3 linked regions of the Arabidopsis thaliana genome follow. The protein of the gene in region 1 purifies or fractionates together with the protein of each later gene. This does not show direct contact. Each region holds a gene or a part of one and is shown in the gene's direction. Other genes may lie near its edges.

What was found.
Region 2: the proteins of ALDH2B4 (region 1) and MTHFR1 fractionate together in Arabidopsis thaliana (co-fractionation; one large-scale study listed by BioGRID). This does not show direct contact.
Region 3: the proteins of ALDH2B4 (region 1) and MTHFR2 fractionate together in Arabidopsis thaliana (co-fractionation; one large-scale study listed by BioGRID). This does not show direct contact.

Annotation. Positions count from the first base shown.
Region 1 is NC_003074.8:17,716,349-17,721,944, reverse strand, and holds ALDH2B4 (aldehyde dehydrogenase 2B4), read left to right. Parts: upstream 1-1,775; 5' UTR 1,776-2,101; coding exon 2,102-2,177; intron 2,178-2,392; coding exon 2,393-2,530; intron 2,531-2,628; coding exon 2,629-2,771; intron 2,772-2,862; coding exon 2,863-3,016; intron 3,017-3,108; coding exon 3,109-3,338; intron 3,339-3,429; coding exon 3,430-3,519; intron 3,520-3,593; coding exon 3,594-3,767; intron 3,768-3,859; coding exon 3,860-3,997; intron 3,998-4,096; coding exon 4,097-4,234; intron 4,235-4,324; coding exon 4,325-4,386; intron 4,387-4,589; coding exon 4,590-4,863; 3' UTR 4,864-5,081; downstream 5,082-5,596. Other genes in the region: CNGC16 (cyclic nucleotide-gated channel 16), read left to right, coding at 1-160, 250-610. UniProt on the Arabidopsis thaliana protein: Possesses activity on acetaldehyde and glycolaldehyde in vitro.
Region 2 is NC_003074.8:22,149,185-22,154,983, forward strand, and holds MTHFR1 (methylenetetrahydrofolate reductase 1), read left to right. Parts: upstream 1-1,979; 5' UTR 1,980-2,118; coding exon 2,119-2,581; intron 2,582-2,673; coding exon 2,674-2,756; intron 2,757-2,850; coding exon 2,851-3,024; exon of another isoform or gene 3,025-3,245; coding exon 3,246-3,419; intron 3,420-3,519; coding exon 3,520-3,620; intron 3,621-3,726; coding exon 3,727-3,838; intron 3,839-4,069; coding exon 4,070-4,150; coding exon of another isoform or gene 4,151-4,228; exon of another isoform or gene 4,229-4,245; coding exon 4,246-4,423; intron 4,424-4,634; coding exon 4,635-4,969; intron 4,970-5,059; exon of another isoform or gene 5,060-5,061; coding exon 5,062-5,139; 3' UTR 5,140-5,299; downstream 5,300-5,799. Other genes in the region: histone-lysine N-methyltransferase ASHH4, read left to right, coding at 28-199, 295-375, 456-606, 689-716, 795-885, 993-1,029; AT3G59980 (Nucleic acid-binding, OB-fold-like protein), read right to left, coding at 5,344-5,487, 5,578-5,784. UniProt on the Arabidopsis thaliana protein: The probable reversibility of the MTHFR reaction in plants suggests that they can metabolize the methyl group of 5,10-methylenetetrahydrofolate to serine, sugars and starch.
Region 3 is NC_003071.7:18,260,570-18,265,874, forward strand, and holds MTHFR2 (methylenetetrahydrofolate reductase 2), read left to right. Parts: upstream 1-1,619; 5' UTR 1,620-1,731; coding exon 1,732-2,194; intron 2,195-2,279; coding exon 2,280-2,362; intron 2,363-2,441; coding exon 2,442-2,615; intron 2,616-2,922; coding exon 2,923-3,096; intron 3,097-3,175; coding exon 3,176-3,276; intron 3,277-3,373; coding exon 3,374-3,485; intron 3,486-3,650; coding exon 3,651-3,731; intron 3,732-3,828; coding exon 3,829-4,006; intron 4,007-4,099; coding exon 4,100-4,434; intron 4,435-4,532; coding exon 4,533-4,616; 3' UTR 4,617-4,777; downstream 4,778-5,305. Other genes in the region: histone-lysine N-methyltransferase ASHH3, read left to right, coding at 45-135, 224-272, 369-434.

The DNA of each region.
Region 1 (5,596 bases):
GGGCTTTAGTGCCAAACATTAATCATAATCTACCATTGTCCACGAGAACCGTAAGGACTCTCTCCGAAGTAGAAGCTTTCGCTCTCCGAGCAGAGGACTTGAAATTCGTAGCTAACCAATTCAGACGTCTTCACAGCAAGAAACTCCAACATGCTTTCAGGTAATCCTCGTATGGTCTCATAAGCAATATAGGTTTCTTGCTTCACACGCTATAAGGTTTCTTGATCTTTATGTTTTGACTGTAACCAGATACTATTCGCATCAATGGAGAGCATGGGGAACTTGTTTTATACAAGCTGCTTGGAGGCGATACATGAAGAGGAAATTAGCAATGGAGTTAGCTAGGCAAGAGGAAGAAGACGATTACTTCTATGACGATGATGGAGACTATCAATTCGAAGAGGACATGCCTGAAAGTAATAATAACAACGGAGACGAAAACAGCAGCAATAATCAAAATTTGAGTGCAACAATATTAGCGTCTAAGTTCGCAGCTAATACTAAGAGAGGTGTTTTAGGGAACCAAAGAGGATCTACAAGAATTGATCCTGATCATCCAACTTTGAAGATGCCTAAAATGTTTAAACCAGAGGATCCAGGATTCTTCTGATAGTTGTTGTGACAAATGCATTTAGGATTTCTGACACTAACTTGATTTGCTGTAACCAATAGTCAGGTATACAAAGAAACATTATTACAGATTGAAGTAATTGTGACTTGACGTCGGTCGATATTATGTCGATTTCTATCCAACGCACTCTTGGCTCCTACAGCATTTATTGGTACACAAAGTGGGCTTTGAAACTCATAAAACACCTTGTGTTTAAGTCTAATTATGTTTTCACATAATTTAGGTGAATTAAAAAATTAATTAATTATAAATTGAATTTGGGCAATGACCATATTTTGGTCAAAAATAATGAGAATGACACTTATAAAAGAAAAATAAAGGATATAGTCATAGACTCATTCCACTATTTGATTGGACGAAAATGATTTTTGATTACACACTTCAACTTGTATTTTTCTTCGTCTACATGATTTTGTGCAAACCAAAAAAAATATGTAATCCCTTTCAGTTTATTGCTTGATATTTTTAATATATAAACTGATTAAATCTCGCAATCGTGTCAAAAACCATATATTTGTCATTTATGCCATAATTTAATTTTAAAGATGAATATGTGAATATAGAATGAAATCTGAAAATAATATTGTAAAAAGCACATAGAAAAAAACCACCTTTTTCTCAACTTTAATCATTTTCTTGATTAGTAACCTTTTGGAGCAGTAGAATTTTCTCATTGTATTCAAATGGTACGAATTAAATCTTCTTATTAATAGCAGATGATTTTTTTTCTTTATTTGTCGAAAGATTTCAAGGGACAAACATCACAATCCGCAAAGTAACCTATATTTACAAGAAAAGATGAAAAACATACCAAATAGATGACACAACTACCGCTTAGAAAACGACTTCACACCATAACTAGCAACTTTTGCATTTATATAGATATTTCCTTTATTTTCATTATAATTTTTCCACATTGCCACAAAAAATGATATCCACAATTAATTAATTTTAATTTGTAGTTGGATCTAAATCTAATATGAAAGAAAAAAGAAAAAACATATTGAGTCTGAATCATATGGATACACATACCAAAAAATCAGAGATCACGGCAAGACAACTTTTTGTCTTATCTTTTAGTTTTTTATTTGTCAACGTTGTTTGTTGTCTTACTAATTTATTTTAATTATTTTTTCCCGAATCTCATTTTTCTAAGAGGGAAAAAGAAAAACATTTCTTTTTTCTCTTATGCAATAAAAATCGCTTCTTTTGTCTTTGATATTAGGAAACGGACAAATCAGTCTAGTCAAATAGAGCCATTCAAAGTACGGCAACACAAACCAAGAGAGTGTAAGTTAAGCGACATGTGTTAGAGATATCCGGAGATCTCAACCGTTGGATTCTTTCTCCTTCAAATCAAATTATAAATCCCATCAAACAGAGAGAGAGAGAGAAGAGGAGGAGAATTCGAAGAATAAAAGATAAGAACTTTGACGTTTTGAAGCTTAAAGCTTGAAACTTGTTTCATCCATGGCGGCTCGTAGAGTGTCTTCTCTTTTATCTCGATCTTTTTCAGCTTCCTCTCCCTTACTGTTTCGTTCTCAAGGTATCTCACACACAAACAAACAAACCACTGTTCGATCTCTCTGCTGAATCAGTGAATTTTCCACTGTATCTCCATGTTTCTACTTTATCACTAAACTTATGCTGAATTCTACAAAATTAACGTTATGTCCAATGAAATAGACTGAAAGTTAGATTCTTTGATTTGTGGGTCTATGTCGAATCTAGGTTGTGATGTGTAAAGATGATAATTTTCAGGGAGAAATTGTTACAATGGAGGGATCTTAAGGAGATTTGGAACCTCTTCTGCTGCTGCTGAGGAAATCATAAACCCATCTGTTCAAGTTTCTCACACACAGCTCCTCATCAATGGGAACTTTGTTGACTCTGCTTCTGGTGATTAAAGTTTTCATTTTTATTTGTCTCCCACGTAGAGGAATTGGTAGAAAAAAGCAAAGTTTTTTGAGTATTGATATTTGGATTTGGGGATTTAGGTAAGACGTTTCCGACTCTTGATCCGAGGACAGGCGAAGTCATTGCTCATGTAGCTGAAGGCGATGCTGAAGATATCAATCGAGCTGTGAAAGCTGCAAGGACGGCCTTTGATGAAGGACCTTGGCCTAAAATGAGTGCTTATGTATGTATATTACTACTCTTCTTGAGTCTTCAGTTTTATGAACTTTAATGTGATATGGATGGTCACATATGGTTATTGTTTTGGGTTTCAGGAAAGGTCAAGAGTTTTGTTGAGGTTTGCAGATTTGGTTGAGAAACACAGCGAAGAGCTCGCGTCTCTAGAGACATGGGACAATGGCAAGCCTTACCAACAATCCTTGACCGCAGAGATTCCCATGTTTGCAAGATTGTTCCGTTACTATGCTGGTATCATAAAACGAACTTAAATCTTGAGAATTCTGGTGCTTTTGGTGTTACTTTCTGTGAATGAACATTCTTGGTTTTGCTTTGATGTGTAGGATGGGCGGATAAGATTCATGGACTAACAATTCCAGCTGATGGAAACTATCAAGTTCACACATTACATGAACCGATAGGTGTAGCTGGACAGATCATACCGTGGAATTTTCCACTTTTGATGTTTGCTTGGAAAGTTGGTCCTGCTCTTGCTTGTGGTAACACCATTGTCCTCAAAACCGCTGAGCAAACACCTCTCACGGCTTTCTATGCTGGAAAGCTTTTCCTTGAAGTAAGATACATCCGATAGATTCTCCTATTGTCTTCTCTAGGAAAAGAAAAACTTTGATGAGTAACAATGTTTCTTGTGAAATTTATGATAGGCGGGTCTTCCTCCTGGTGTTCTGAATATTGTTTCGGGATTCGGTGCAACAGCAGGTGCTGCCCTCGCGAGTCATATGGATGTAGACAAGGTAGATATATTTATTTACTTGCTGCTAACTTCTTTAAGAAACTAAATTATCTTACATTCTTCTTTTTGCTTCAGCTTGCTTTTACAGGATCGACTGATACGGGGAAAGTTATACTTGGATTGGCTGCTAACAGCAATCTTAAGCCCGTAACTCTGGAACTTGGAGGGAAATCACCGTTCATCGTATTCGAAGATGCTGATATTGATAAAGCTGTAGAGCTTGCACACTTTGCCCTCTTCTTCAACCAGGTTTTGTCAATAGTAGAATATATTCACCTTGAGCTAAGCTGACTCATTTTCCTAGCTAGTTCTTGAGATAATGTTGAGTAATGTTTTTGTAGGGGCAATGTTGCTGCGCGGGGTCTCGGACATTTGTTCATGAGAAAGTGTATGATGAGTTTGTTGAGAAATCAAAGGCACGCGCATTGAAACGTGTTGTTGGTGATCCTTTCAGGAAAGGCATTGAACAGGGTCCTCAGGTAACACATACACATTCCTTCCTTCCATTAAGAAGAGTTTAGCTTTTCTACTTTGTTGATTGGTTTTGTGATTTCCGTTTTCACAAAAACTTTGTATAGATCGATTTGAAGCAATTTGAGAAAGTGATGAAGTACATAAAGTCAGGTATCGAAAGCAATGCTACTCTTGAATGTGGTGGTGATCAGATTGGAGACAAAGGTTACTTCATCCAACCTACTGTCTTCTCTAATGTTAAGGTAAAAAGAAAACTCTTCTAAGACATCTTTAATGTTCTTCTATTACCGATTCTCCATGGCATTAATCTCGAACGCTTGGTTCAACTACAGGATGACATGCTTATCGCTCAAGACGAGATTTTCGGTCCAGTCCAATCGATCTTGAAGTTCAGGTATATAGAGCTACCAATAAAACTGATCCAGTAGACAAATAAGTCACAATTTGGTAAAAATGGCTGAGTTGTTAGAGATTTGGTAAACTGAAACTAATTTCGAACCAACCAAACCTAAACTTTTTTTAAAGATAAATGTATTCAATTAAAAAACAGAAACCATGATAGATTTGGTTTAACACTGGTTATGATGTTGGGTTCAGTGATGTGGATGAGGTGATAAAGAGGGCGAACGAGACGAAGTACGGGCTAGCGGCAGGGGTTTTCACGAAGAATCTGGACACGGCAAACAGGGTTTCAAGGGCTTTGAAAGCTGGTACCGTATGGGTTAACTGCTTCGACGTATTTGATGCAGCCATACCATTTGGTGGTTACAAGATGAGTGGGAATGGGAGAGAGAAAGGCATATACAGTCTCAATAATTACTTGCAGATCAAGGCAGTCGTCACTGCTCTAAATAAGCCTGCCTGGATCTGATCTCTGGAGTGTGGTTTCAGCATCATAAATGCTCAAACAAAAGAAATAGACTCTATAAAGTTACAATAGTAATAATTAAGGTCATGGTTTGTAATTTGAGTAACGGATTGTGATACTTCTAATAAATTTTTCATTGTTGTTTATTCATCACATAGCTGTTGTTACACTGAGACTTGTGTGTTCATTTTGGTTTTGCAAGATTTCTATTGAAACTGAAAACAAACATGAAACTGAAAAATGCAACGAAAATTAGAAAATATATATCTTAAAGTAATTAAGAGTTAAAACTCAATAATTAATTAAAAACTTTTCAGTTGTTTAAATATATACTCTGTTTCTATATAAATGTAGTTTAAGAGTTTTTATTTTTTTCAAAATAAGTGTTGTTTTCAACTTTCTATACAAATAATAAATATTTAATATTTTAATCAATTATATTTAATTAATAATATTTTTATATAAAAGAGGTAGATTAAATGAGACTTTCATGATTTTTTTAATATGTGTATAAAAACCTTAAACTAATATGAAACAAAGGAAGTAGTTGTTAATTATTAAATTCATATACAGTATATTCTTAGAATAAAATATCAACATAAAATTGATCACAAGTATGAAAAAAATACTTTTTATTAAAAGGTTTATCAGATAAATATATTTTTCCTTTTGTAACAGACAAAAAATTATACTAATTTTGAATATTTATTATATTTCTTAATAAATTTCGATACAA
Region 2 (5,799 bases), 4.4 Mb from region 1:
TCTTCTTATATCCATTTCTTATTGTAGTTATTGACGACAAGATTTGTGAAGAAAGGCTTTGGAAGCTGAATCATAAGGTCGAGACAAATTTCTATTTGTGTCAGATAAACTGGAACATGGTGATTGATGCTACTCACAAGGGTAATAAATCAAGATACATCAATCACAGCTGCAGTCCTAACACAGAGATGCAGAAATGGTTCGTTTGTAACTTATTATCCATCTTCTCACTTTTCTTCTGTTCAAAACAATTGAGCAAAGTTATAGATCATGAACCTTTTTGTTCCCATTTAGGATAATTGATGGCGAGACAAGAATCGGCATTTTTGCTACCCGTTTCATAAACAAAGGCGAGCAGTTGACTTACGATTACCAGTAAGAACATTTCCTTGCATCACAACAATAAAGTATTTGAATGTAAATGTTTAGTTGTGTGATACTAATAAATATAGCAGGTTTGTTCAGTTTGGTGCAGATCAAGATTGCTACTGTGGTGCAGTGTGTTGCAGAAAAAAGCTAGGTGCAAAACCTTGCAAAACTAAGAACACAACCTTAGAAGAAGCTGTGAAGCCAGTGGCATGTAAAGTGACCTGGAAAACGCCCAAGGTAAATTTGAGCTTTGCCTTACTTTTTTTTAGTCATCCTGTGATTGCTAAACAGTAACTTGTCCTTTCAAACATATGGTTAGGGAAAAACTCGAGGGAGACGCATTGCTGGTTAGTATTAATTATTTGGCTCGATTATCGACAAGCTTCTCAATTCAGAGGTAAGAGAAACCAATTTGGATGCGTCAGGACAAGCTTGGAACAATCATAGCCAGAGGAAAATATGTTGCCGGGACTGCATTGGTGCGGTGATCTGGTTAGCACGTCCCATGAACCAAAAGTATAACTATCTTTCTTTTTTTCTCAAAAACCAATTTCTTCCACACCAAAGAACAGTATTACACGGCTCAGATGAAGGTTTTGACTCTAGTAGTTGACATTTTTCAGGTGTTTTGGAATCATTACACAATATGATGAGTTTTAAATAAGCACTTGGTATCTATTCATTTGACTTATTGCCAACACTGTTGTTCACATTCTATCTCAGTTTACGAAATCTAAAGAATGAACATTGACTTTGTCCAGGTCATGTATGAGGATGGTGTTACCGAGATCATCGACATGTGCAGAGAAGTTTGGAAGGTTGTAACTGCTTGATATTGTGACTGTTCCAAGTCTGATTTCATTCCCTTACATAGGATTACACTTGAATTGTCAAGAAATTTTGTAACCAACCAAACCGTGTCGGTTGGCAAATAGGTTTAGACTTTGTTGTTGTATGTATCCAACTTGAATCAGTAGTTCAGTAGTACATTACACTGTATGTGGAATCTTTGGACCAAATAAAGAAAAGTGTTTTTGGATTTTAAACCGGGGTTTTGGTTATTTAAGAGACAAAAAATCTCATACCCGGTTTGCTCTGTCTATAACTCGAGTTTGTTAAGCACGTGATTCTCCTTGGCAATGCTGCTATATCACTAGCCTACTGTCCGTTGTAGCGGATGATACCCACGCGCCGGTGACCGACAGTGGATTTGCCGTTACCGGTGGTAGGTAATGTGGGGTCGTAGCTCACCTACCTAACTAAATTTTCTTTTTCTTATGTTTAGTTGGAAAATAAGAAAAATATAAAAACTAGTTTTTTGTAAAGGAAAAGGATAAAATTACTATTATGGAAAAGATAAATTCCAAAAGTGAGGAAATATGTATTTAGCACAATAAAAAGTGATAGCAATGTGAGAAAAAAAACGTGATAACAGAAATGCTGTGCTAAATTTGGATTTCTTTGTTGAAAATATATTTACATTGATAAATATTATGTAATTAGAAAAAGGAAAATTCAAAATAGATGTGTAGAAAAACAACAATGTTGATAATATAATTTTTTATCTAAAGTTTTTACCGGTTACCAGTTACCACCAAAGTTGTTGGATCTCTATCTTCATTTTTAGAGATTAGTATAAATGAGTGAGTAAACAAACCAGAGAGACCAAACTTGCCTCTCCACCACCACTTCCTCTACCTATCTAATTCCGAATCTGGATTTGGATTTGGATCTCATTTCGATTCAACGATGAAGGTGGTTGATAAGATCAAATCCGTGACGGAGCAAGGCCAAACAGCTTTCTCCTTCGAGTTTTTCCCACCGAAGACAGAAGATGGCGTCGAGAATCTCTTTGAACGAATGGATCGATTGGTCTCTTATGGACCTACCTTCTGCGATATCACTTGGGGTGCTGGTGGATCCACAGCTGATCTCACTCTCGAGATTGCTTCTAGGATGCAGAATGTTATCTGCGTCGAGACTATGATGCATCTCACTTGTACCAACATGCCGATTGAGAAGATTGATCACGCGCTTGAGACGATTAGATCTAATGGAATTCAGAATGTGCTTGCTCTTAGAGGAGATCCTCCTCATGGACAAGATAAGTTTGTTCAGGTTGAAGGAGGATTTGCTTGTGCTTTGGATCTGGTGAATCACATTCGTAGCAAGTATGGTGATTACTTTGGAATCACTGTTGCTGGTTATCCTGGTAATCAAAATGCTCCCTTTTAATCAATTTCATTGTTGGTTTCGTTGTTGTGATTTTGATCTCTAATTGGGGATTTGTGTGTTATGAATCAGAGGCTCATCCGGATGTTATTGAAGCTGATGGACTTGCTACTCCTGAATCTTATCAGAGTGATCTTGCTTACTTGAAGAAAAAGGTTCAGATTTGTGTCTTGGTTTTGAATTTTGTGTGTTGAATTGTTTGTGTTGTCTTGATTTGATGGGTTTAGTGGATTGTGGCTTGTGGTACAGGTTGATGCTGGAGCAGATTTGATTGTGACTCAGCTTTTCTATGATACTGATATATTCCTCAAGTTTGTGAATGATTGTCGGCAAATCGGGATTAATTGTCCCATTGTTCCTGGAATTATGCCTATTTCCAACTACAAGGGGTTCTTGCGTATGGCTGGTTTCTGTAAGACCAAGGTATGTTGTGATCTCTTTCATCTGTGTGATGATATGGCTTGCTCTGTAGACACATGTCGTCTTTGTGCTTAAAGGCTTTAAGATGAGATTGAGTTTACTGCATCTATCTAGTTGCTTGGTGATATATATATAGACCCTTGGTGATGATGCCTTATGACTAATGTGTTCAGATATCATTTTTCTTTGATTTATATTCCACTCATGATTCTATTATTGCATAGATACCCGCTGAGCTCACTGCTGCCTTAGAGCCTATTAAGGATAATGACGAGGCTGTTAAAGCCTATGGAATTCACTTTGCAACAGAAATGTGCAAAAAGATTTTGGCCCATGGAATCACTTCCCTTCATCTCTACACATTGAACGTGGACAAATCAGCTATTGGGATATTAATGGTTTTCTTCTCATTTCCTTCTAAATTGGTTTCTGTGTAGTAATATTTAACACATGGTATTGTGTATACCGGAGAACCTAACAGTGGTGCTCAAATTGCAGAACCTTGGTCTGATTGATGAGTCAAAAATTTCTCGTTCTCTACCTTGGAGACGCCCTGCAAATGTTTTCCGTACTAAGGAAGATGTTCGCCCAATTTTCTGGTAACCTGCATTTTGTTTCTCTTGCTCGGAGTATTATTACAGATCTTTAACTTTAAGATATATTTGCGGAGGAATAATACTGTTACTTCATTTTTTATCTTTGCAGGGCAAACCGTCCAAAGAGCTACATATCTAGAACAAAGGGCTGGAATGACTTCCCACATGGACGTTGGGGTGATTCACACAGTGCAGCATACAGTACACTTTCGGATTATCAGGTACGTACCACATATTTATCAGTTTTCTGACATATCGACTTTATATTTTGAAAACTTGAATTCTGAAAGGCTTGTTTTCAGTTTGCCTTCTCAATTTGCTTAAATTGTATTTGCATATTGTTATTTAGCCCTACCATTATCACTTGTAAGAAGCTGCTTGCTTTGCTTGCCATCTCTTCTGCGTTTTTCATTGCCAATGAGTAGTGCTGATATAAATGCATGTGTTGATAGTTTGCGCGCCCAAAAGGACGTGACAAGAAGCTTCAGCAAGAATGGGTCGTCCCACTGAAAAGCATTGAAGATGTTCAAGAGGTAGGCTTTACTTTACGGACACTCGTACAAATTGTTTCGATCTCTTTCCCTCATACTCACTTGCACATTTTCATGTAAAAACTGTCACAAATCAGAAATTCAAAGAGCTCTGCATTGGAAACTTAAAAAGCAGCCCATGGTCTGAATTAGATGGACTCCAGCCAGAGACAAAGATCATAAATGAGCAACTCGGAAAAATCAACTCCAACGGTTTCCTGACCATTAATAGCCAACCATCAGTCAATGCAGCCAAATCCGATTCTCCAGCTATTGGTAAGAAAACTCAAACTTGTGATCACAAAGCATACCATAACGTTCCAAAAAAAAAAATCTTATTTGACTTGTGATTCATCTGTCATTTCTTAAAAACCTATTTAAACCCTCTAGAGCTTCTGTCTTAGCTTATAACATAATGTTTAAATTGCATTGGGAATATCTACTTGGCTTATAACAAAAATGTATAATTGCAATTGATACTTTGCAGGATGGGGTGGTCCTGGTGGTTACGTCTACCAGAAAGCTTATCTGGAGTTCTTCTGTTCAAAGGATAAGTTAGACACACTTGTGGAGAAATCCAAAGCTTTTCCTTCTATCACCTACATGGCCGTGAACAAATCAGAGAATTGGGTATCAAACACCGGTGAGTCCGATGTGAATGCAGTTACTTGGGGAGTGTTCCCAGCTAAGGAGGTTATTCAACCGACGATCGTGGATCCAGCCAGTTTCAAAGTCTGGAAAGACGAAGCGTTTGAGATTTGGTCAAGAAGCTGGGCTAACTTGTACCCAGAAGATGACCCTTCTAGAAAGTTGCTCGAGGAGGTAAAGAATCTTCTTCTTTTTTCTTCTCTTCTTTTCAGTGACCAGATTGGTTTAGCTGTAATGATGATGGTATGATCCAATCGAATATGCAGGTGAAGAACAGCTACTATTTGGTAAGCTTAGTGGACAACAATTACATCAATGGTGATATCTTCTCTGTCTTTGCTTGATCTCCGAGAAAACCACCGGCGAAGAGGAAACATTCGATTTCGAGATTTGTTTTGTACCTTTTAAAGTTATTTTTGATTCGTAATAACCTTACTTTGATGAATCAACAAAAACATCAGTTTGATTGCAATGAAAAAAATCGCCTTAGCGGTTTGTTCTTTCTCTCTTGTGTCAAAACAACATCACAAAATAGCTTTTAACAGAAATCAAGAAATGTTGGCATTTCTTAAAGACTTGGAAGTAACAAGACCAGAAGATGTCCGCATCAAATGCTCCTTAAGCATTGAAACACCAGACGCATCTGTCTTCAAAAGTGGTTGCACCAATTCCCACATCTTCTTCTTTTGAACCTGAAACAACAAAGAAAACACAGAACTTGAATATGCCATGACTTAAGTCTTGCAGTACTGAAATGATTAGTGCTTTGCAGGCTAAATGACCTTATTAGGAGGTGCAGGTTCAGGAAGCTGCTCGAGATCTTCTTCGTTACCAAACCAAACTCTATCTCCAGGAACAGAGCCTTCTGGTGGAACAAGAAGCTCAACATTTTCATGAGCTGCGTCAGATGCAGCTAAAAGCATACCACATGACTTAACCCCTCTCATATTCCTCGGCTTCAGATTAGCCAGCACCACCACTGATGCACCCTGCACAGAACCAAA
Region 3 (5,305 bases), on another chromosome or scaffold:
GTTTTGGTTGTAAGAAAGTAATTTGGATTCCCATGTTTCTCCAGGAAAATCATGGAACAATCTTAGTCAAAGGGATACATGTTCGCGTAATTGCATTGGTGTGGTGATCAGGTTATCTCGCCCCACGAGTGATAGGTATTTATTGAGTTTTGAACTCGTGGATTAGTTTTATGACTCATTCTATGCTTTTCTCATCCAATGTTTTATCTTTTGAGATTTTCAGGTGTTTTGGCCTCGTTAGACATTTTGATGAGTATTCAAGAAAGCACTCGGTATTACAATTAGCCAATACTTGTTCCTCACCATCGAACTTGGCAAAATCATTCTCAATTAAGACCTCTCTGTTAACATCTTTAAACTTGGTCCAGGTGATGTTCGAGGATGGTGTTACCGAGTTTGTCGACATGTCGAGAGAAGACTGGGAGATTGTCTAATATTGTTTTCAGGTGATTTATACTCTTCACTCTCTTAATGAAACATTAAAACTCCCAGAAGCATAGAGTATTAAATTACCCTGGCTGCTATGTTTCTGCAGATTGCTTTGAAGTTGAGAAACCAAAATAACCTGTCTTGGTAAACTAAAGGTATCCCAAAAAACCCGGGTCTGACTGACTGGGATTGGTGCAGTGACATTGTTTGTTGCGTCTAACTTGTGACCTGTGTTTGTACAACCATTATAAGAGATATCATATATCTACTTGTGTAACCACATCTGTACTTTCTTCTCCTTCCTTCTTTTTTCATGGGGATCTCAAATGATGATGTCTTGCAAGAACCTTCGTGGTGTGTAATTGACTTTGTAAGAACCGGTAATCTCATATCCGGTTTAGCTTTTAAAAATTTGTATCCAAAGACCGGTTTGTTCTTGTTTGCATGTGCTGTTCTTATTCGTGCATCTGTGTGAGTGTGACTGTGTCGGTGTCGCCGACAAAAGCCGGTGTTTGCAAAATCTGACCAGTTTTGTTTTAGCGATTAACGTTTCAAATTCCTTCAAATGCAAAATGAGTTAAACAAGTGAAAAATTACTAAAACAACATAACAGTTTTAAATTGGAAAAAGTTTTGTAAAGTTTAAAGATACACTGTAAGTGAAAAACGGAAAATTTTAATTAGATTTTTTTTTTTTTTTTTTTTTTTTGGTAAAAGTAGATTATTTTTGTTAAACAAAAGTGATGGATCATTGGTTTTTTGGTAGTAGGTGGGTGATGTGGGTGTGTGGTTCTGGTTCACCAACTCAAAAAGCATAGACTGCAGGGGTTGGGGATTGATAACGACAAATCTAATTGTGGTTGGTAAATCTTTTACTAATCACATTCCTTTAAAATAATTATGTAACTCATCTTGTTTACTAATATCAACTCGACTATCTTAATATCAAATAACTCGGATTCTTCATTTTTTTCACTTTAGAATGGTTTGGTAAATCTCTTGAATAATAAACACTTTAATAAAAATGTTTTTTTTTGTCAAGCATAAAAATGTAACTCATGTTGTCTAACTACATGGATTTTCGCACAAAACAATGATTAAATGTAAATTATGTAATTATACTTTATTTAAAGTATGATTTTGTCTTAAAAATGAAAATAATATAAGGAAGTGGACGGGTAAGGTAAAGTCTAAAATTCACCAAACATTTTGGAATCTCTCTGTTTACTATAAAGCAGTGAGTAGAAGAACCTGAAAGAACTCGCCTTTGTCTCTCATTCTTCTTCTCCATTTCGAAAAGAAGATGAAGGTGATAGATAAGATCCAGTCATTAGCCGACGAAGGCAAAACAGCGTTTTCCTTCGAATTCTTCCCACCAAAGACAGAAGATGGAGTCGACAATCTCTTTGAGAGAATGGATCGAATGGTTGCTTATGGTCCAACGTTTTGCGATATCACTTGGGGAGCTGGTGGATCTACCGCAGATCTAACGCTTGATATAGCTTCGAGGATGCAAAACGTTGTTTGTGTTGAGAGTATGATGCATCTTACGTGTACTAACATGCCTGTTGAGAAGATTGATCATGCTCTTGAGACTATTAGATCTAATGGGATTCAGAATGTGCTTGCTCTTAGAGGTGATCCTCCTCATGGTCAAGATAAGTTTGTTCAGGTTGAAGGTGGTTTTGATTGTGCTTTGGATCTTGTTAATCACATTCGTAGCAAGTATGGTGATTACTTTGGTATCACTGTCGCTGGTTATCCTGGTAATGTCTCGAATTCGAATTTGATTTCTTTGTTTCGTGTGATTTGTAGCTAAAGATTGGATTTTTATGTGTTTTGATATTTCAGAGGCGCATCCTGATGTTATTGGTGAGAATGGTCTTGCGTCTAATGAAGCTTATCAGAGTGATCTTGAGTATCTGAAGAAAAAGGTTTGTTTTGTTTGTTTTTGTTTTGCTTTGTTCTTAAATGTCTGCATCAATTTTTGAATTTGGGTTTGTCTTGGAACAGATTGATGCTGGAGCTGATCTGATTGTTACTCAGCTTTTCTATGATACTGATATATTCCTCAAGTTTGTGAATGATTGTCGGCAAATTGGGATTAGTTGTCCCATTGTTCCTGGAATTATGCCTATTAATAACTACAGAGGCTTTTTGCGTATGACTGGTTTCTGCAAGACTAAGGTAAGTTTTGATCGTTTAGTAAACACCAGTTCCTGCAAATGAATCACCTTTTAGGAGATGAATGATATTGCTTGTTGCCTTTCCATAAAGGTGTTTGTTTGCTAGCTTAGGATATGTTTTTAAAAAAGTGTATTTAAGGTTTCGTGATCAGCTAGATGAAATTGAGATACTTGATTATATTATTGTTTTCAGAGAAAGTGTTTGTTGGATAGCTATTCAAAGAGAATTCTTTATATTAATGTAGATACCAGCTGTGCTTTTTGTGAAAAAAAGATAGATGAATTTACATATGATTATATTAATGTAGATACCAGTTGAGGTGATGGCTGCCTTGGAGCCTATCAAGGATAACGAAGAAGCTGTGAAAGCCTATGGTATTCACCTTGGAACAGAGATGTGTAAAAAGATGTTGGCTCATGGAGTCAAGTCTCTTCATCTCTACACATTGAACATGGAGAAATCTGCTCTTGCAATATTGATGGTTGGTCCTCACTTTTTCTACTTGATGTAAAGCATGATACTGATAGTGGAGTAGCTTTACTATTTTGTTGTTGTTTCAGAATCTTGGTATGATTGATGAGTCCAAAATTTCTCGTTCTTTACCCTGGAGACGCCCTGCAAATGTTTTCCGTACTAAGGAAGATGTGCGCCCCATTTTCTGGTAACAGAGCTTAGTTTCTCTCGTTCTGATTATACTTAGCCACATATTTTACTCTGCAGGGAAAATAAGACTTGTTCTTTCTTCTAATCTTTTGAAGGGCAAACCGTCCAAAGAGCTACATTTCTAGAACCAAGGGCTGGGAAGATTTCCCACAAGGCCGGTGGGGTGATTCACGCAGTGCTTCATATGGTGCACTCTCGGATCATCAGGTACTACAATACATCATCTGTAATTGCACAACTCTCTTTCAAGATTTCATAACAAAGGGGTTTTGAAGGGTATTTCTTCGATTGGTCTTTTTGATTTGCTCTAGATTGTTAAATGTAACATCTTCTTGTGAGCTTGTTTGCTGAACTAAATGCTTTTGTTGTCAGTTCTCACGTCCGCGAGCACGTGACAAGAAGCTTCAACAAGAATGGGTTGTCCCACTGAAAAGTGTTGAAGATATTCAGGAGGTAGAACAATTTTTTCACTACCACACATTTCCCTCACTTTCACCTGTAAAGATGCAGACGCTTACAATAATCTTGCAAAAAAACTGTCACATAACAGAAATTCAAGGAGCTCTGCCTTGGAAACCTTAAAAGCAGTCCCTGGTCTGAATTAGATGGACTCCAGCCAGAGACAAGGATAATAAACGAGCAACTGATAAAAGTCAACTCCAAAGGCTTCTTGACCATCAATAGCCAACCATCAGTCAACGCCGAGAGATCTGATTCCCCAACTGTTGGTGAGGAATCAGTCCTGTTATATCTCTGTTCTCATAGCAAACAGAGTTTTGATTCGTGATTGATCGATACTTGTGCTTGTGTATGATTTGCAGGATGGGGAGGTCCTGTTGGATATGTATACCAAAAGGCTTATCTAGAGTTCTTCTGCTCAAAGGAGAAATTAGATGCAGTGGTGGAGAAATGCAAAGCTTTGCCATCGATTACTTACATGGCTGTGAACAAAGGAGAACAGTGGGTATCGAACACTGCCCAAGCTGATGTGAATGCTGTAACTTGGGGAGTTTTCCCGGCTAAGGAAATCATTCAACCAACCATTGTCGATCCCGCTAGCTTCAACGTCTGGAAGGATGAAGCATTTGAGACTTGGTCAAGAAGCTGGGCTAACTTGTACCCAGAAGCCGACCCTTCCAGAAACTTGCTCGAGGAGGTAAGTTCTATATTTTTCTTGATCTGATCATATTTGTTATTGTTTTTGACAATGGTTTATTTAAAATGACTAATGGACATTTTGATCCAAAAATGCAGGTGAAGAACAGCTACTATTTGGTAAGCTTGGTGGAGAACGATTACATCAATGGTGACATATTCGCGGTGTTTGCTGATCTTTGAGAAAATCAAGAGACAACTACAGTATATCGGTTTCCTACTGCTTTCAAGATTTGCTTTTGTACTTTCTCTAAAATATTGGGATTTTGTTTTTTACATCTGTCTACCATAACAGTATTGATGTGCAAGTAATGTTATTGATAAAAAGGCATCAGTTTCACTACCTTAAAGATCCAAAACCAAACAATTCTTCGGCAAATTTTGTTTGTGTTGATAGTTCAGAGGAAAACTACAAAAAGACACGCAAAAAGATAAAAAGGCTTTAAACTTTTGTTTATAATACTTGCAAATGATATCCAGGAAGAGGAATCTTAGGCTACACATTGGTTTAATGATCATAGTTTGTTCACATTGGGGAGCGGGAACAGTGGTTTTAACAAAACTAAAGAATAAGCCCAAGTTCTGATGGCTTCAATGCATTTCTCAAACGGTAATTGTAGAGATAGTAGTGCGACTGTCGACATAGTGGATAAAACCTCAACTCTTTCAAGAAACTCTCATTCTGCATCACATCCGAGGCATAAAACACATCGAAACCTTTTTGCTTAGAGACTATTAGGGCATCATTCACCAGCTGGGATAACGAGGTCAGTGTCGCTACATTGCAGCAAGCATAAGCACATTCCAGGGTCGTGTATTTCCGGTTACCGGGGATAGTTATAGAGGAATTGCAGAAGCTGCAGAAGTCAGTG